Caenorhabditis elegans: one gene and its partners. The protein of the gene in region 1 purifies or fractionates together with the protein of each later gene. This does not show direct contact. Each region holds a gene or a part of one and is shown in the gene's direction. Other genes may lie near its edges. The genes, in order: T13F3.6, lys-2, C30G7.3 and C47B2.2.

Region 1 (4,030 bases):
GCCAAAATGTTTTCAAAAATTAAAATTTGAATTCCCATCAAGATGTTTTTGAAAAGTGTTGAGTGGTTTATCGCGTACCTCGATCGATGTCGGGTGCGTATTCATCATAAGTAGCCTCAAAATTTTCTAAAATAATTTCCAGCGCTGAATGTTGTGACGTCATTTGTGACGTCAGAGACATACGGAATAGCGCTTTATATATAGTAATGATTTTCAGCTACCATCTCCGCCTCACGCTGGCAAGACGTCTCGTTTACCGATGGAATCAAGATCACACTGAATTTGATTGCAACCGTACCACCAAGTGTTCAATTGGTACGATTATAGAGCAAGATTTGTATTTGGTTTTTTAGGGTGAGAATGAGGCAGGCAGAGGGCGTAGGCATCAAAACCTGATGCGACCTTGTAAGTAGGCATGGTGTCCATCTAGATAGATAGGCAAGTGCAGGCAGGTAACAAATAGTATTTTCAAACACAGCCTACCTGTACGAGTGCGTACCCCTGCTTTACAACTGTCTAACTACGTGCTTGCGTTATGTCTACCTGCCTACCTGTGTATCAACATCATAACATTCTACCGACTTTCGAACCTTTAAATGCTCACGTACGCACATGCCTGCCTACCTACCATGCCTGCCTGCCTACCTACAATTGTGCATACCCATGCCACATTATACCTGTCCATTGATTGTTTTGAGCCTACCTGCTTACCTATCATCATGCTTGCCTATCTATTTTGTTTCCAGAAATTGATAACAGACGCGCACACCCTGACAGCCTTCTGCTTTGTAATTCACACCGCCACCGCCTACGTCATCTTCGCCCTCATCCAATTCATCAAGACGTGGAGAATTTCCGAATTCGCGATTCCCCTTATCTCGGACATTGATCAAGCGGATCAAGTGGACAAGGATATGCAAGTACAGTACAGATCGAAAAATGAGCTTTTCAAGAACAACCAGCCAATGGGAGAGAAGGCGGAATAACTTTTTTGTGATGTGATCTGGAATTCAGCTAATGAAGCTATTTGTTAATATATTTATCTTGGACTGTACATAGTTGAAATTCTGCTCAAAATTGCATAAAGTCCGCAATTAATGTATACTTCGATGGGTGGAGAAGCCCACCCCAAATTTTCATCAATCTTTACTTTTTCAAAATACCACATACATTGCAAAAAAAGAGTTCACAGATAATCCAGATCTTCCCATTACTCCTTATCATCATCCTTCTTCTTCTTCTTCTTGCTATCGTCCCAATCACTCGCCACATCCTCCATAGTCGGATAGTCCGTCCTCTTCTTCTTGACTCCATCAGCGATTGCTTGCTCTTTGTCCGTGTACTTTTGCTCTTGTGGCACGATTTCCTCCTTCTTGGGCTTCTCGTCCTCCTTCTTCTCTTCTTTTTTCTTTTCATTATCCTCTTTGTTTTCATCATCTTCCTTCTTTTCTCCATCCTTCTTTTTCTCATCTCGTTTTGAATCATCTTTCTTCTCCTCCTCCTTCACTTCCTCCTTCTTCTCCTCTTCCTTCTTCTCCTCTTTTTTCTTCTCCTCTTCCTTCTTTTCCTCTTCCTTCTTCGGCTCATCCTTCTTCTCTGCTTCCTTGTTTTCCTCCGGTTTCTTCTCCACCTTTTCCTCTTTTTTCTTCTCCTCAGGCGCTGGATTTCCAATGTTCACATTGTTCGTGGTGAGACCAGTCGTTGTCGTCATCTTCACTGTTGACATCTCACGGACTTTTGCCTTTGGCTTGGCTTTGCCCTTCTTCTTACACAAATGGAGAGATGCTGAAAATGTTTTTTCAATTGGCGAAAATAATTGAATCGTTCAACTTTTTCGGACTTAACGGGACCCATAATATGAAGCTCCCTATTTGGCGATGGAGCGCATTTTCACTTCAATTTCAAAAGGATTTGCTTAAAAAACCCGCACTTTGTAGGCTGCACAAAAGCAACTCACCAGTCAATACAGACATCCATATGATCAATTGTAGAAGCTGTGGAAACCAGATTAAATCTGAAACCGAATTATTGATTGAAATTTTGCGAAAAATTTCCAACTCACTGATCATTTCAATAATTGGCAATCGGGGATTTGAATTCCGGTCCAACAGAATCTTGCTGTACAAATCCAGTATTGATTTATTTTTGTAAAACTAATTTCGTCGGCTGCCCCTATGTTCCACTGCCCTATTTCTTCACGTTAACACTAATATTTAATATTTGAAAATTGATATTTAAAAGTTTCCGTGAAAAAAACATTTTAATTTTAAAGTTTAAATTTTATTGATTGTGAGAGAGATAAATTTTGAAGAAATTGCTTTATTGGGACACTGTTTGATACGATTTCGATCAACTATCAAACTTTAACTTTCAATCTTCAATCGAACTGCGAACACTTATCAGACATTACACAAAATCTAGTTTCAAAAAATTGTGTTGATCAGTAGATGATAGCAGTATAAAATGGGTCTCCACCATTTGTAAAATGAAAAATAAACCATGATTTCTTTTGGTTTTATCTTGGTAATTGGTCTTCCAATTTTTGCGACAGCAGCTACAATGGATGATTGTAAAACTGTAAGTATGCCTAATACTAATAGTGAGATTTTTTGTAAATTCATTAAATTTTTAGATTGGTCTAGGCTTGGAGCCAATCATCAAGTCGATAAATGTTACAGACCGATTTTTCTGGCCACCGGAGACATACAAAGCTTACGCAGATAAATGTGAAGAAATTATAGTAATATTTTTTCAAAAATTAAGAACGGAACAATGGCAAAATTTCAGAATTGTGTAAAATCGGTGGACGCTTCCCTACTAGACAAGTTCTCAACCAAAGTGAGCCCTTGCCTATTCTATATTTTCTACAATCGCGACTTCTCAAATTGCGCCAAAAAGCTGATCGCGAAGAAAGATGACAATATTTCATGCCTCAACACACTTTTCAATGATGTTCACGAGGTATGCAAAACTGTAATCATGCAGGCTCCGAGACGCCTGCAGCGCCTGCCTCGCCTTCCTTCGCCTGCCTCACACCGCAATCCGCGTCCTATAGTGCTGCGCGGAGCTCAAAAAGTGTCGAGCGCGAACTTTTGTTTCAAGCAAGAATGCAGAATTGAGGTGTGAAGCCGGCAGGTTTTTGGGCCTGTAACCGCGCCTGTCTACCATGAAAGCTCATACTTTTTAATTTCAAATATTCGATTGTTCTCACAAAATTGAAATTTTCAGCCAGAAGTAGATGAGTGCGATCAATGGGACAGTCTTCAACCATGCATTAAGGAAAATATCGCAAATTTGTGTGATGACCAATCAGGAAAAATTCAGGAACAATATGTAAAACAAACCGCTAATTTAAGACCAGAATTTTGTGACTAATAGTAAAATGTTGAATAAAACTATTTTAGATTTCAAATAAGTTTTCCGCGCATTTTGCGCTTTATTATTTATTCGTTTTTTTTATTGATATACCAGCCGTTCGCACGCGCAAGGCGCGTGCTCCGACTGGCGTACGCTAAATTGTTTTAATAAATTTTAAAGTGCTAATGTAACATTTTTGTACAGTCATACATTTTCCTGGAGTTTTGCGGACTTTCAAGAAATTCTAGGACTTTCAAGATTTTTTTCAAATTTTTTAAGCGCTTTGAGATTCTAACTACAAAAATTTTCTAGGTGCCGGAAGCTTCCAGTTCAATCAAAAAAACTGGCTTTCAGGCATAAAAATGGCCGAATTTTTATTGGAGATTAAAAATCAATATCCCTTCATAAGCCAAAACAACGCAGACTACAAAGACTACATAGACTACAAACTATGCACTGTATTTTTAAATATATAAGTATTGATAACTCAACCTATGACTCTTTAGACATTAAATAGACTTACTACTGATTCGAAATCTACAAGACAAAAAAATAAGAGAGAGAGAGAGAGAAAACAAACAGACAAACAGTTTTTCACTTGGAGTACTCGTTCTCTGCCAACAAACTTGACGCGTCTAAGTCTCTCAACAACAAATACGATATTTTTTTTCAC
Region 2 (4,155 bases), 6.0 Mb from region 1:
GAGTATAAATGCTTTCTTGAGTTCAATATTATCATTTCGGAAAATGAAACTTTTCGCTCTTCTAGTCTCTATTACATTGTGCTACTCTTTCCCAGCTCCTCTTCAAACGAATGTATCAGAACCATTTGGATTGCTGCAGAAAGTTTCTGAACAAGTGATTGACCCAGATTATAATATTCCTGAAGTGAAAGATGCTCCAGCAATTCCATATGATGAACGAAACTCCCCAACTCATGCATATTCAGTTGACATTTCATTTCACACAACTCCGAGTGACATGGATTGTTTGAGAGATCAAGGTTATAAATCTGTATTTGTCAGAGCTTTGAATCCAATTGGAAATACTTATTTTGATCGAAATGCCTTGAATACAATCAACAATGCATTTGAAGGTAAGATTGACTAAATAAACAAAATAATCCTATTATTATCATTTTGTTTTTTTTTCAGCTGGACTTGGAAGTGAAGTTTACATCACTCCAAACATCAACTCAACAAGGTCTGGAGCAGACCAAATTAGTCTGGTCTACCAGAATTTGCTTGCTAATGGAATTAATGTTAGATCTATCTGGATTCAAGTAACTTCTCCAACAAATTGGGTTGCACCAATGGCTGTGAGAATTGAGTTTATCCAAGATATGATTAGAAGTGCGAAGGTATGTTACCAAACATTAGCGAGACAAACTGAAGCTCCTGATGCATGGAAAACAACAGTAAAACAATTTCCGCGAAATTCGCCTCTGAACGTGGGGCACGCCTGAGACGTTTATAGGACGATTATATTTAAGTTGATCACATACACGAATATTGTTTGCTGAAGCGGAATGTACATTTTCTGACTCACACTGTTTAGAAGTTTTAATTTTCGAAGCATGGATCATGATCACAAAGAACAACTTCTTATTCACTTTATTACTTTCAGAATCTGGGCTTGTCAGTTGGAATCTACACTTCATTTTATGATTGGTTGGAAATCACAGGAGGCTGGAACACGTTTAGTTCTGATGTTTTCTTGTGGTACTGGCATGTTCTGAGTATGGGTACTGATGGTGAAACTACTCCAACTCTTGAAGATTTCCGTCCATTTGGACCATGGAGACAGGCCACTGTGAAACAATTTGGACAAGTTGAAAAACTTTGTGGAATGATTGTAAACCGAAATGTGTATTCCACCGGAAACCAACACTTGTCTCAAATTGTACACTTCTCAACTCATCAAGAAAATTCGAGTTCGGAGAAGAAATTGATTCGTGTTGGTGGAATCGGATTTTGAGAATCCAAGGAATGAGAATTGTCGACTAAATCTTTGATACCAGAAAGCATAATACAAAATAAATATTTCCGATGTGATTGTCGATAACCTTTTTAACGATAAAATTATCAACACACAAAAATACACTTGTTATTAATAATGGTGTCGCCGAAATTTTTATTGCTTTATTAGACTCGAAATTGTCTGAAAACACCGAATTTCATAATGCAACTTTATATTGAAAACAAAAATTACCTACAAATAGTTAACATTTGAAATTTGTCCAACTTATCCATGTTGCAGCGGCTGGAAACTAATTTTTTGAAATCACTTTCAAATTTTCTGAATACAACATTTGAGGTGGGATCACTAGATTTCGTATAATTTGGGGATCCATTGAAATTTATTTACAATTTCTCATTTTTAAACCCGAATTTCAAAAAGCATCTCTCTGTTGTTCTCTTTGTTCTAAAACTTCGAGAAATATCCTCACTGACGATGTTGTGTAAAGGAACATGTAGAAAGTTTCTTTCTCTATCTTTGGCCTCTTTTTCATCACATCACTTTAATTGACAACAGAGAGTCTGCACTGGTATTCTTGCCTTCTTATCAATTATCATTCATTAATTCAGAAAATGAAGCCAAACCACTGTTGACATTTTCAACTGACTAAGAAACCCATCTTATTTCAGAGAGATTCGTCATTTTGTGCACTGAAAAGAGCTCATCGTCTTGTATATAAACTGATAGGAAAACCACAATTTTTATCTTCACTGAAATAGATCAGTAAAATGATCAAGCTTCTAGTTTCTTTTACTATCCTATTTGTTCTCTCTTCTGCGAGACCACAAGAAATCGACTCGAACCAAGCTGCGATTGCAAATACCGAAGCAAATGAAGCTCCAGTAATTGTTAACAATGACGCTTCAATGGGAAATGCTGTCGATTTTTCCTTTCCAACAAATGTCCAAGTAATGAATTGTTTGAAGAAAGCAAAATATCAAGTTGTATTCCTCCGTGGATTTGTTCCAACTGGAAATGGAGCTTTTGATTCAAATTGTGTTGGAAATATCAGAAATGCTTATTCAGCTGGATTGGGAATTGAGACATACATGACTCCTCAGCCAATATCAAGCTGGCAAGGATACCAACAACTTGATCTTCTTTATAACGGACTCAACAATAATGGAATCACTATCCGATCAGTCTGGATTCAGGTTAGTAGTTCAGACACAGTTTAAATTTAGAATTTCCCTCAAGTTCATTTTGAGGCTGGTACTACTATAGTTTCAGTTTCATAGAGAGTTGCTCCTCTATTTATGAATTTTCTCAAAAGTATTTTATCATTACTTCCTCTCAATTCACAAGCATTCACGAGTTTGTGTATTTCTTATCTTTCAGAAAATCGAACATAATATTTAAATAATTATTTCCCTAAACTACAAATTTTCCAGGTTACTTCCCCTGCCAACTGGCCAAACAATCCAACTGCCAACGTCAACTTTATCAACAGCATAATTTCCCGTGCTCAACAATATGGTCTCTCTGTTGGAATTTACACAAACCAATATGACTGGAGCCAGATTACTGGAAATTCGGCGAATATCAATTCTAATGTCATGCTCTGGTATTGGAATGTTCTTGGAGGTGGTACTTCTGGAGAGACAAAGCCAACTTTTGCTGATTTCCGTGCTTTCGGCCCATTCAAGAAGGCTTCAGTGAAGCAGTATGCTCAAGTTGAAACAGTTTGTAATTTGGTTGTGAATCGTGACGTGTATGCTGTTGGAATTCCAGCTGCTGCTCCAAAGACTGAAGTCAATATGGCAGATGGTGAAAAGATTGTTGTCGGAGGATTTGTCGGAAACTAATTTATTAAACTTATTATCGGTTTTATGATCTCTTCCCAAATAAAATTGTTATCATCTGTTATCATTTTGCCGGCAGAAGAATTTTCTTGAAGGAGAGAAAAAGTCTAAAAGTCACGAAAGTTAAACACATTGATATTAATGCGTAAAAAGCGATTAAATGCATATTATCGTTAGGTGTCAATGCAACTTAAAAAGTGCAAAAACATCTTCGTATGTTAATTTTCAGATTTAATTATTTTGAACAAATGATTTCTTTTTTTCAAATTACGTTGAGTTCAACAAGCCTTCCACGCGGGTAATATTGAATATATTCTATCCTATACCCTCTCAGATAAACTGGAGTCACGGCTGACTAGGGAACCGTCAGAAGCTGCCCATCGGACTTGCATATGAGACCAATGCCATTCGATAGTGCATGTCTTAAAACGGTTGCTCGTGAATTTTTAGCGGCAAAACTCCAGAACCAAGCTCACGGCGGGCTCTCAAAGATCTTAAAATAGCACTGTAAGGAAGAACTTTAACGATCTAACGAAGCAATTTTCGAATTTCACTTTGGTAGCTCATATCTCCGTAGATAAATTTTTTACAGAAAAGTCATCAACTAAAAAGTTGTTGATATTGTTGTAAAGAACAAGTTTGTAGTTGAAAGTTTTTTACCAAAAAATTTTTGTTTGCGAGAAAATCATTAGAAACGGAATAGCAGCATAAAAATAACAACACCAGTTGCCGCACTTCACGCACTTTTATCTCAAACAAAAATTTTGTGGTAAAAAACTTTTAATTACAAACTTGTTTGTTACAACAAAATCAACAACTTATCAGTTGATGACTTTTCTGTAAAAAATTTATCTACGGAGATATGAGCTACCAAAGTGAAATTGGAAAATTGCTTCGTTAGATCGTTAAAGTTCTTCCTTACAGTGCTATTTTAAGATCTTTGAGAGCCCGCCGTGAGCTTGGTTCGGGAGTTTTGCCGCTAAAAATTCACGAGTAACTGTTTTAAGACATGGGCTATCGAATGGCATAGGTCTCATA
Region 3 (6,209 bases), 1.3 Mb from region 1:
AATTCTGTAATTTCGAAATTTGCCGAGCTCGGCAAATTTGCCGCACAACCCTGATGCATGCAGCATTCTTTTCTTTTTTTTCACATTCTCAGTAACGTTCCCCACATCACAATGAAGCAATGCACCTACGAAACAATTAAAGAATTTTTTCACTTGCAGGTAGCCCTCAAAAGTACGAAAAAAAAATTGAAACCAATGTTTTTCTCGCCAAATAATTTGTTTCATCGGGAAAATAATAACGAAAAAGTTTCACAATTAAATATTATTAGTCACATTTCCAAAATAAATCATCATCAATTGTTTGCGATAACAAAAAAAACTTCGGAATTCTTAACACCTAGAAGCAGCCGTCTGAAAAGTACAAAAGCTATTATATTTATGACAAAAATGACATTTAAAATTGATTCTATATTTTCAGAAGCTGTAAGTTTTTTCCAATTCAAAAACATATAGGATACAAATGATTTCTACTTCAAAGAATTCCAGAACTTCAAACATGGCAGTTTTTGATTTCATCATTGGTTTCGGCTTCATGTTAATTGCTCTTTTTCTCATTTTCCTATACCTCAACAAGGATGGGCACATTTCAATAGCTATCAAAAAAATATTAACGAATTCAAGACAAAAGGCAAAAGATTTGAAGGATGGTTCAACATCCGACCCATCAAAAACGACACCAGCCGCACCTGCATGCTCTCCAGTATCAAATGAGGAAATAACAATACCCTCAGATGTTCAATCGGTGAATAATACTTTATCAGAAATTTCATTGTCAGAAGCTGAAGTTCAAGTTGATGAAGAGAATCCAAATATTGTGAAAATCCATGTAATTTGATGACTGTTCGCATTTCTAGTCATCATTTTGAAATTTAATAAACCAATGCGACATCGTAGTTTACTTCACCGTTGTCAATTTTTGTAGATGTACTGAAAATGTGTTTGAAATTTGTCCAATTGCAAAAATAATAATTAAAAGCTGACAATAATCATCTATTGTTCACAATGACGAAGAAATTCTAAATGCTTCTTACATAGAAGCCGACTGATAAATATAGAACTATAATATTTATGACATGATAGCATCCAAAATTGTTTCTATATTATAAAAAGCTGTAAGTTTTTTGTTCAATTTGATGGGATGGCAGCAAAAAAGTTACAATTCGACGTTAAACCATCACAACCCAGATTGACCTCGCAATGAAATATTTGACCAACTGTAGATTAAAAAACATATACCGTATTATTTCTATTAGTCTTGCACCAACAATGCTTAATTCCGAGATTTTTAGAAGATAATTTAAGTTATTTTCGTAGCATTAAGCCATATTGGTTATCATGATATCTGACTCAAATTTGGTGTCTTGGCTCTATTCTCGTGCAAACACCAAAGTCGCGTTAAAATATTTCATTAACCTAGGGAACTGCCACAAAAGTTGCACACTTTATTATCCACGACAATTGATTTCTTGGCTTTTGTGAATAAAAAATAATGTTTTTCGTAAATGAAAAATTTCAAATGATGGATTTTCCGGAAATTAATAAAAAATTATCAATTTTTCAAAAATTAAAATTTCATATTATCGACTTTTCAAAAAAAAAAAATTAAAACTTCACATTATCGATTTGTCAAAAATTGAAAATGGCAGATTACCGATCATTCAAAATTTATCGATTTTTACAGGAAGATGGAAAGTATGTAACTCTGAAATCTAATGTCGTGGAAAATGGTTTCTACTCGGGAGTCTTATAGATTTTTTCTCATTAATTTATTGATTTTTGTATTGTCATGATCTCAATTTGAAAAAAAGAAAGAAAATGTAATAATTATCGATATATTTTTTTAAATAAAACTGTTTTTGAAATTAAATCTTCACGTGGCCTTTTCGAATTTTGTTATTCTCAACAATAATCGATAATCCGTGAGATTGATAAAATCGATAAATTTCAATTATTTCTCACTTTTATACTCGTCAATACCACATTTATTACTCGCCGCTTATTCACATTACTCCAATGAACTGCAGACAATCAAAGGTGAGGTGCACGAGAAATGCGCCAGCATTTGCTTGCGCAATTCACGATACCGTATATTTTTCAGAAAAATTCTCACATCTGGGACAACGTCTGTACCGCCGGCACTCGTCGTAATCCGTATTACGTCTGCTGTGAGTTTGAGAGTCGGGAAAAACTGATAGTTTTTGTTGTTTCTGTTCAAAAATCGATAATTTCTCAAAAATAAATATTTTGAAAATTTAGAAAATATCGATTTTTCCGTAAAATCTATATTTTACACAAAAATTTTCACCTACGTGTAATTATCGATTTTTGTTCCAGAAAAGAGTTAAAATTAAAATTTTCGAATTATTGATTTTTTTGTTGGTAAAAATAGCATACAGGGTGGGCCAAAAGTATGGTAACACATGAAGCGCTCTTTTACATGAGCTTTTCGCGCGACTGCCACGTCATACGTACATTCTTCTATCGAATACTGATAGCTGAATAAATTTCCTTCAATTTGACTCAAAATTTGTAATGTTTCCCAATAAGGTGCGATCTTTATCACCTCGACAATTTGGCGAACCCTTTCGAAAAAACGGTAATTTGGCACGCGGCACTTCCCACACAAACACACCTCCCACGCACGCCAATAATTTTCAGATGTATGATTTTTATGTTAAATTGAAAGTTAAAGAAGTGAAGAAGCGTTTTTAATTGTTTTTGTAGCATATAAAAATGTTCTGTGTCGACACTGGCGCCTAGCAAGAACCTTTGTATATTTCATGAATTCAACTTTGCGAAATTTACTCAGTTTTTTTGGTTTCGCAAGGCGTAACGACCCACAAAATCATCCGAGCTCAATTTTCTAAAAAAATTCTGGAAAGTCAGGTCAAAACGTCTCGAAAAATACTAAAATAAATTTATCTGAATACTGCTACTCGCCGCTCACATCCATCTTTCTGGCGACTATGCCATTCAAGACTTAACCTACTGCCGCAGTCCATGACAGAAATACCGTGATAGAAAATATTTTGATTTTTGTTTTTAAAGAATCTCTAGACCAAGGGCATTCTTTGAACTATAAAAACTTGTAAGACACTTTATGGATTCCTCAAGAAAAATGTAGAAATCCCGCAGAATGCCGACTTGCGTGCCATAAAGATCGTGATCTCAAAAGTTCTGAAGGCCTGCAGCAATGCGGATGGATATATTTTGAAAATTCAAAACGTTCATCTGGTCAGTATTTTATGGAGAACAAAACTTGTACAAATTGATGTAATAACTCTCTCCACTAGTAAAGTTATAGAGCTGCAAACGTGTTACCATACTTTTGGCCCACCCTGTAATTCCTAAAAATCAATACTTCGAAAATATTTTTGATTTTAAGTAAAAAGCGATATTTTTTCACGTTCTTTTTTTTGATTATCGATTTTATGCAGACGGCACCACCGGCTCCACCACCTCATCACTGTCAATTTTGGAATTTTCACGTGAACAAATCACCGTAGTGTCGCCACGTGTCAAATGTCCCCTCAAGGTGAGAATATTGGAAAAAAATCATTTCAAAATTTGATCGCTGTACAAAATGCCATTTTTAACAACTATCTATCGTCAGATTCCGACCGGAAATGTATTGATTTTTTGATTTTTTGGACTAAAAATCAATAAATCAATATATATTTTTATTTTCAGCAAAAAATTGTGGAAAAACCGAAGAAAAGGAATGTATATGTCACGAACTGGGATCGTGCAGCGGCGGAGCAACCAAAGGCACTTGCCACGTGGATTTATCAGCCATTTGATAAGAGAAAGGTGGGTCGAGAATTGCGCCAAGGCTCTATCATTTTGTTGGCTTGTTGGACATCCTATCAGAAAGACATACCTGAAATTTCAGTTCGATAAGACTATTTTGAGCAGTGTTACCAGGCCTTGAAGTTTCTTATAAGATTAATCGACCGCGTCGCAGGTTGTTTGCTTTGACTAGTTGTAACTTTGCTCCCAGTGGATTGATTTGAAATTTTTTGTGTGGCTAGCTGTGTATTATTACGTACATTCAATTCAAAAAATTTTCAGTACAACAACCGCACGGCATCCGACGCCTTCGACGCCTACCAACACCGCCTGAAACTGAAAAAACTGCCCGAGACAAAGCAAAAAGTCACAAAAACCACCAAAAGACATGTGACTATCAATGAAGCGGCGACTCAAGTCATTCAGGATGTGTGGTGAGTTTGCACTAGAAACGCGCCAAGGCACGAGTTTTGCGTTAAGGCGTTAACAGTAGTATACATACATACATCAGAAATCAATACAGAGAAATCAATACACAGCTCTACGAGCATTTTGAACAATTTTGAACAGTTACGTAGATTTTGAACAGTTACGTAGATTTGAAGTATTGAGAAAAACCGCGACGCAGACTAAAGTTTTGAACCACTGTAACTTTGCTCGCACTGTTCGAAGACTTTCAAAATTTTTTGTGAACGCTCCCAATGTAATTGTTAATATGATGACGTCATCATTGCTCCTTGGCGTATTTTTCGTGCCATGACGCAATTCTTGATCATTAAATTTGAAGCCCTAATTTTCCTAGTTTCAGCCACCTCCAACCGAAATCCTACCAAAAAATTCGCATATCAAATTGTCGAAATGATGAGGTGAAAATCGATAGTTTCTCTGCTAACCGAGTTCCAAAAGACGATGATATTGACGACCTGAACGTGAATGTTCCAGTTGAAGATGATGATGACGTGGAACTCGATGACGTCATCCTTGCTCAAAATCCGGCGTTTTACGGCACAATTGAAGCGGAAAAGTGTGCAGAACGAGTTGCCGCACATCTATCGATGGCCTGTGAAAACATGGAACGTTTGCAATTTGTGACGGAAGCCGTGTATCCACAGAGCGCCGCTCATTTGGTGAGTGATTGCCTAATATGGAAAATAAATATTGATTTTTTTGCAGAAGAAGCTTCAAGAAATCGATGATGACGTCAAGGATTTCAATTGTCAGATGAGACAGCGTCGTGTCAAAGCTTCGAATCCAGGAGTACGTACTTTTAAGTTTCTGTGTGAAATTTCATGGCTGGACCGCGACGCGACACGAAACTCATGAAATTTTTGAAACTTTAGCGTTTTAATTCAGAACATCAAATTAGATGAAAAAAATGAACCACAGAAAATTTCAGAGCTGTAGCCACATTTTGAGCAAAGTTAAGGTGGTTTGAAAGTCCTAGCGACACACGACGCATGTCAAAACTTGCAGTTACCCTAACTTTGCTCTTAGTAGACACAGAGCTCTGAAATTTTTTGAGCGTGCTCCCCATGCAATAGAAAACTTGTTTGCGCAATTTTGGTGCCTTGCAAACACCATAACCGTGTAAAAATATTTTATTATTCCAGGGAACAGTCACAAAAGTTGCACACTTCATTATCCACGGCAATTGATTTTCCTCGATTTTTGCGAATAAAGAATTTATTGATTGGATTTCCAATTTTTTAAACCTTTTTTGTAGTCACCTAACAACCCGGATTTTCAAGTAGATTTTTAACAATTTTCAGGAAAGCGAATAACTGGAAATAATGCCTAAGTGCCTAAGACTAAGCCTAAAAATGAGCCTAAGGCTAAACCAAAAAAAATCCTAAGCCTAAGCCCTGTGACATAAGCCGGCAAAGTGAAGCAAAACGGCTTGTTTTTTGCGCTGTTATGAGCTTCATTCTTATTTGTTAGACCTTGTGTGTCCCCAAGCCAAGCTATTTCGTCGACATGATGATAAAAATTGGTTTTTGATTTAAACGAATTTTTTGACGCCATACTTATTTATTCGAGAAAAAATAAGCATATATAAAATAGGAAATTCAACAGAGAGTCAAACAAATTAAACGCTTTTTCAAACTGAACTTTCAGGAAAAATAGCAATACGTTTTATCTGAAAAGGGTTGTTTGCTATTATATTGTTTTGTTGCAGAGAACTTATTAATAATATTTATTTTTAAAAAAACCATGTTTTTAAAATTGAAACCAGATACCAAAATAAAAAAAAAGAGAAATATAAGCATAATGAAAAGTTAGGAGAATTTCAGCAGTTTCTAGAAGGATTTGTGGAAGTCCATGTGCTGACTGAACCGACGTTTTGGTCGACTTGAATCCCCACTTGCTGGCCTGAAGTCTCCGGCGATTCCTCAGAATTGTTTGATTTATTATCGTGTTTT
Region 4 (5,242 bases), on another chromosome or scaffold:
GTCCGATGTTGGGCTATGTTGAGAGAGCGCGCGCGCTCGTGCGTTCTCGGCCCTATTTGGGCTCACTTTCGTCTCTGCTCTCACCGCAATCGTTTCGTTCTCATATAACAATTGTCTTTCTCTTTTAAAACTTTATAATTTTCTTTTTCAGAAAAGAAAATGCGTGAGGTCATCTCTATCCACGTCGGACAAGCCGGAGTCCAAATCGGAAACGCCTGCTGGGAGCTCTACTGCCTCGAGCACGGAATCCAGCCCGATGGAACCATGCCAACTCAATCAACGAACGAGGGAGAGTCGTTCACCACTTTCTTCTCAGACACCGGATCCGGCCGTTACGTTCCAAGATCCATCTTCGTCGATCTCGAGCCAACTGTCGTTGACGAGATTCGCACTGGAACCTACAAGAAGCTCTTCCATCCAGAGCAGATGATCACCGGAAAGGAAGACGCCGCTAACAACTACGCTCGTGGACACTACACCGTCGGAAAGGAGCTCATCGACACCGTCCTCGACAGGATCCGTCGTCTCGCTGATAACTGCAGTGGACTCCAAGGATTCTTCGTCTTCCACTCCTTCGGAGGAGGTACCGGATCCGGATTCACTTCGCTTCTTATGGAACGTCTTTCCGTCGACTACGGAAAGAAGTCCAAGCTCGAGTTCTCCATCTACCCAGCTCCACAGGTCTCAACCGCCGTCGTTGAGCCATACAACTCGATCCTCACCACCCATACCACCTTGGAGCACTCCGACTGCGCCTTCATGGTCGATAACGAGGCCATCTACGACATCTGCCGCAGAAACTTGGATGTTGAGCGACCAAGCTACACCAACCTCAACAGAATCATCTCCCAGGTTTGTTGAGCTCAATTTGATTGTTGTATTCTAATGTTCTCTTTTTACAGGTTGTCTCCTCAATCACTGCTTCCTTGAGATTCGATGGAGCCCTCAACGTTGATCTCAACGAGTTCCAGACCAACTTGGTGCCATACCCAAGAATTCACTTCCCATTGGCCGCCTACACTCCACTCATCTCTGCTGAGAAGGCCTACCACGAGGCTCTGTCCGTCAGCGACATCACCAATAGCTGCTTCGAGCCGGCTAACCAGATGGTCAAGTGTGATCCACGTCACGGAAAGTACATGGCTGTGTGCCTCTTGTACAGAGGAGACGTCGTTCCAAAGGACGTTAACACCGCCATCGCTGCAATCAAGACCAAGAGAACCATCCAATTCGTCGATTGGTGCCCAACCGGATTCAAGGTCGGAATCAACTACCAGCCACCAACTGTTGTGCCAGGAGGTGATCTTGCCAAGGTGCCACGCGCCGTCTGCATGCTCTCCAACACTACCGCCATCGCTGAGGCCTGGTCTCGTCTCGACTACAAGTTCGACTTGATGTACGCCAAGCGTGCCTTCGTCCACTGGTATGTTGCCCGTTAAACTATACTTTTCAAATATTCAATGTGTTTCTTTTCAGGTACGTCGGAGAAGGTATGGAGGAAGGAGAGTTCACCGAGGCTCGTGAGGACTTGGCTGCTCTCGAGAAGGACTACGAAGAGGTCGGAGCTGACTCCAACGAGGGAGGAGAAGAGGAGGGAGAGGAGTACTAGATGCTCCCACAATCAACTGCCTGGCGATTGACTTTTAATTTATTACTGCAGTTCGATCGTCATAAACAATGTATTATGAAGTATTTTATTTATATAATGTTTTTTGTTAAAAAGAGAAAGAATGAAAGTCGGAACACTTTACGTTTATACCGAGTTGAGTGCCGCAGAGCAAACATGTACAAGCCGACAGTATTTGAGCAGCAGACGCTTGTTCTGCTCATCGATCAGTATTAGATTACAGAAATGGCTGGGCATGTGAATGGAACATGTGCTCCAGTGATTCCAAAGGTTGGTGATGAGGAAGACGGTGTCGGGCAGTTGGTGGCAAATCTGAAAGAGAAGGGAACAAATTTTGTTCTTTTGAAGAAGACTCCACAGATACTTGAATTGCAGACAATTTTGAAAGATAGGTATGAAGTTTGACTGGGAATAGACTGAAGCCTCAAACATTTTATGGGTGAAAATTTAAAGAAAGGGGCTGAAAACTCATATTTCCAAGCTCTTTTTCCAGATTTTGCGGAAAAATTAACGATTTTCGGTATTTTTGCCGGAAAAACTTGTTGATTTTAAATAAACTCCTTTTTTGCCTTAAAAAGCGATTTTCTTGGAATTTAGATTTTAAAAATCCGTTAATTCACAAATTTTCGGGTCAGAAACGGCATTTTAAGCGATTTTGCCAGTAAATTAGGAGAAAAATAGAAAACGTTTTCATTTTTTGGCCTTTTTGCCGTGAAATTAACTGAAATTTTGATTAAAAAACGTTTTTTTTTGTTAGAAAACATGAATATATTTATTTATATAAATGAATTTTTCAAGGATTTTCTCGGATTTTGAGTCAAAATTCCGATATTTTCATAAATTTCCGGGTCCGAAACGGTATTTTTCGTGATTTCCTCGCAATTTTAGAAGTTTTCCTTGTAAAAATTGGTTGAGGCTCAGAGAATCTTGTAGTTTGTAGTTTGTAGCCCCATAGCCTCAACCATCTTCCAATTTCCAGATCAACAAATCACTCGGATTTCGTATTCAACGCGGATCGTCTGATGCGGCTTGTAATTGAAGAATGTCTCAATCATCTTCCATTCACTGAGCACACAGTTACCACACCAACAGGCTTCAAATATGAAGGAATTCAATTTAATCGTGGAAATTGTGGAGTATCGTTGTGTAGAAGTGGAGAGGCGATGGAAGTTTCATTGAGACAGTGTTGTCGGTGTATTCGAATTGGAAAAATTCTGATTGGTACGGGAAATTGAGGATATCGAGAGGAATTTGGGAAATTTCCTAGAAAAGGCGAAGAAAATTGAGAAATATAGAAGAAAATGGCGAAAAATCACCAAAATCATTGCGATTTTCATCAATTTCTCCCTGAAATTACCTGGAATCTCTTATAAATGCAGATTTCTGCTTGAAAAATGGAAAAATCTGGTGAATATCCAGTTTTTATAGATTTTCTCCTGAATACCCCTCAAAATCTGTGAAAAGTCTGACTTTTCCTTCAAAAATACCTCTAATTCGTAGAGAAACTCGTTTTTTCAGCCGAAAAATGTTTTTTTTTTTAAATCTGTAATAAATATGTACTGTTCTTATGGTAAAATTCCTGAAAAATATATTAAAAATATATATAATAGTAAAATTTGCGTTTTTACCCAGAAAAGTGGTAGAAATCGTGAGTTTTACTGAGTTTGTCGAAAACTGGCGATACTTTTTTAAAAGAAAAACCTCAAAACTCGCAAAATTTCCAATTTTCATCCACTTTTTGTTACAGGCGACGAACAAAAAGTGCTCTACGCCAGGCTTCTTCCGGATATCACGTCGCGTCGAGTTCTACTGCTCTACCCAACGATAGGGTACGCTCAGAGACTACAAACTACAAAAAATATCTGGCCGAAATAAATTTGATTGAAAAATCTGAGAAAAAAAACACAAAATTTAATGTCAAAAAATCGATTTTCCCGGCGAAAAATCGTAAAATTCAATAATTTGTTTGACGTAGAAACTTTAAAAATGTCGATCACTAAAACTTCCCCAGAAGGCGAAAAATTGTCTAAAAAATTGAGTTTTTTTTTGTGCAAAAAAAATCTTTTTTTGAAATTTTTTTAACTGAAGAAACATTTAAATTTAAAAAATCACATTTTTATCAAAATTTCCAATTTTTCAGATCTGGGACGACAGTTTGCAAGGCAATTGAAGTCCTAAAAGAGGCACGTGTCCCAGATGAGAATATCTACTTGGTTTCCCTATTCATCTCACCGACTGGACTCAAGAATATAACCAGAAAGTACCCGTATATCACTGTCGTCGCCTCCGATATCACATCTCTCTATCCAAATCATTTCTCAACCAGCTATTTTGGTGCTGTCTAGACTAGTTTTGTGTAGTTTGTAGCCTTTTGACACTACAAACTACATCGTTTCCGTTTCAAATGCAGTATTTTTATTCACTTTTCTCACTTGATCATCTCTTCATTTCTCGTTATTGGTTTGTAGTTTGTAGTTATTGTAGTCTTCTTTTTTACTTTTTCACTGTTGATTTCCCCTATTTTTTTTTGACAAAATGTTCATTGAATTTCCGCATAACTAAATTCTTTTGTGTTGTTTTCGGTTCATTAAACATTATTTTAAGATGCAATGACTACGGTAGTCATTTTCTGAGTACATGGTGTGCGTACAGGGCGCTATATTTTACGCGCAAAGTTGAGAGTGAGATTTTTCCTCATTTTTTGGATTTTCACTGCAAATTTAAGAAATTTTACGAAAATAAACGTTTTATTTCAAATTCTATTTGCTACTTTGCATGCAAATTGTTTTTTTTTCATTATATTCTGAAAATAAAATAAGTTAAAATTAGCCGTTTCAAAAAAAGTTTCCGAAACTACGGTAGTTCTCGGAGTACGCAACTTGCGTACCGGGCATCTCATTTGACGCACAGAATTCCTAGTTTATTGTTTTTGGATTTTCAAAATTTCAAACATAGTTTTTGCATTTTTCCTGTCGTTTTTGTGATTTTTATTTGTGAAAATTTATTAGACAGAAAAGAAATTTTCAGTTTTCACGAAATTTACTGGAAAATTTGTTATTTTACCGTTAGGTAACGTATTTTACAAAGATATTTCACTTTATCCGTATTTTCTTATTGTTTTCTTCACTTCAAACGATTGAAAACTGAATCAATCAAATAAATTTCCTATTTTTCAGGTAATTTGTCAAAATGACTGGCTCATCTCGTGGAATTGTCGAAATGACAAAGAAACTGGATCGATTAAATTGTTAGTGTTAAAATGAAATTTGCATCGGATTCAGTTTAAAATTTGCTTATTTTCAGATCGAAGAAAAGACCACTTACGCTTTTAAGCATGCCAGTTGATGTTATGGAGAAAGTTATGAAGAAAGTGGATCCATACGATTGGTATCAAATTTTGAATGTTAGGCAAATGTTAAAAAAAAACCAAATGAGTTTCAGGATTTCCGTCCGCAATTCCAATCGAAATCTTCGAGATTTCGTCGACAGCCAGCACCTCAAATTGGACATTGATGTTTCTATTGAGGGCACTTTTCACACCATTGATATCAATGGAAATCAATCCTTCGGACCTTTCCATCCGGTCGTGGCTGATGATGAAAGAAGAACCATCTA

Evidence for each region.
Region 2: the proteins of T13F3.6 (region 1) and lys-2 fractionate together in Caenorhabditis elegans (co-fractionation; one large-scale study listed by BioGRID). This does not show direct contact.
Region 3: the proteins of T13F3.6 (region 1) and C30G7.3 fractionate together in Caenorhabditis elegans (co-fractionation; one large-scale study listed by BioGRID). This does not show direct contact.
Region 4: the proteins of T13F3.6 (region 1) and C47B2.2 fractionate together in Caenorhabditis elegans (co-fractionation; one large-scale study listed by BioGRID). This does not show direct contact.

What each region holds. Positions count from the first base shown.
Region 1 is NC_003283.11:16,269,679-16,273,708, reverse strand, and holds T13F3.6 (T20D4.11-like domain-containing protein), read left to right. Parts: upstream 1-2,487; 5' UTR 2,488-2,499; coding exon 2,500-2,577; exon of another isoform or gene 2,578-2,632; coding exon 2,633-2,740; exon of another isoform or gene 2,741-2,787; coding exon 2,788-2,961; exon of another isoform or gene 2,962-3,228; coding exon 3,229-3,375; 3' UTR 3,376-3,409; downstream 3,410-4,030. Other genes in the region: pacl-1 (Polycystin-Associated Channel-Like), read left to right, coding at 218-315, 747-986; T13F3.8 (uncharacterized protein), read right to left, coding at 1,211-1,785, 1,958-2,014, 2,063-2,069.
Region 2 is NC_003283.11:10,279,333-10,283,487, reverse strand, and holds lys-2 (Lysozyme-like protein 2), read left to right. Parts: upstream 1-2,013; 5' UTR 2,014-2,043; coding exon 2,044-2,469; intron 2,470-2,706; coding exon 2,707-3,120; 3' UTR 3,121-3,181; downstream 3,182-4,155. Other genes in the region: lys-3 (Lysozyme-like protein 3), read left to right, coding at 44-392, 451-656, 923-1,273.
Region 3 is NC_003283.11:14,941,410-14,947,618, reverse strand, and holds C30G7.3 (MADF domain-containing protein), read left to right. Parts: upstream 1-1,914; 5' UTR 1,915-2,013; coding exon 2,014-2,034; intron 2,035-2,098; coding exon 2,099-2,165; intron 2,166-3,437; coding exon 3,438-3,535; intron 3,536-3,690; coding exon 3,691-3,810; intron 3,811-4,071; coding exon 4,072-4,223; intron 4,224-4,597; coding exon 4,598-4,916; intron 4,917-4,962; coding exon 4,963-5,046; intron 5,047-5,399; coding exon 5,400-5,444; 3' UTR 5,445-5,489; downstream 5,490-6,209. Other genes in the region: C30G7.4 (Matrix-remodeling-associated protein 7), read left to right, coding at 497-835.
Region 4 is NC_003279.8:12,961,181-12,966,422, reverse strand, and holds C47B2.2 (Phosphoribosyltransferase domain-containing protein), read left to right. Parts: upstream 1-1,843; 5' UTR 1,844-1,852; coding exon 1,853-2,019; intron 2,020-2,606; coding exon 2,607-2,848; intron 2,849-3,374; coding exon 3,375-3,456; intron 3,457-3,767; coding exon 3,768-3,972; 3' UTR 3,973-4,381; downstream 4,382-5,242. Other genes in the region: tba-2 (Tubulin alpha-2 chain), read left to right, coding at 160-852, 903-1,423, 1,477-1,609; fbxa-140 (F-box domain-containing protein), read left to right, coding at 4,962-5,014, 5,069-5,242.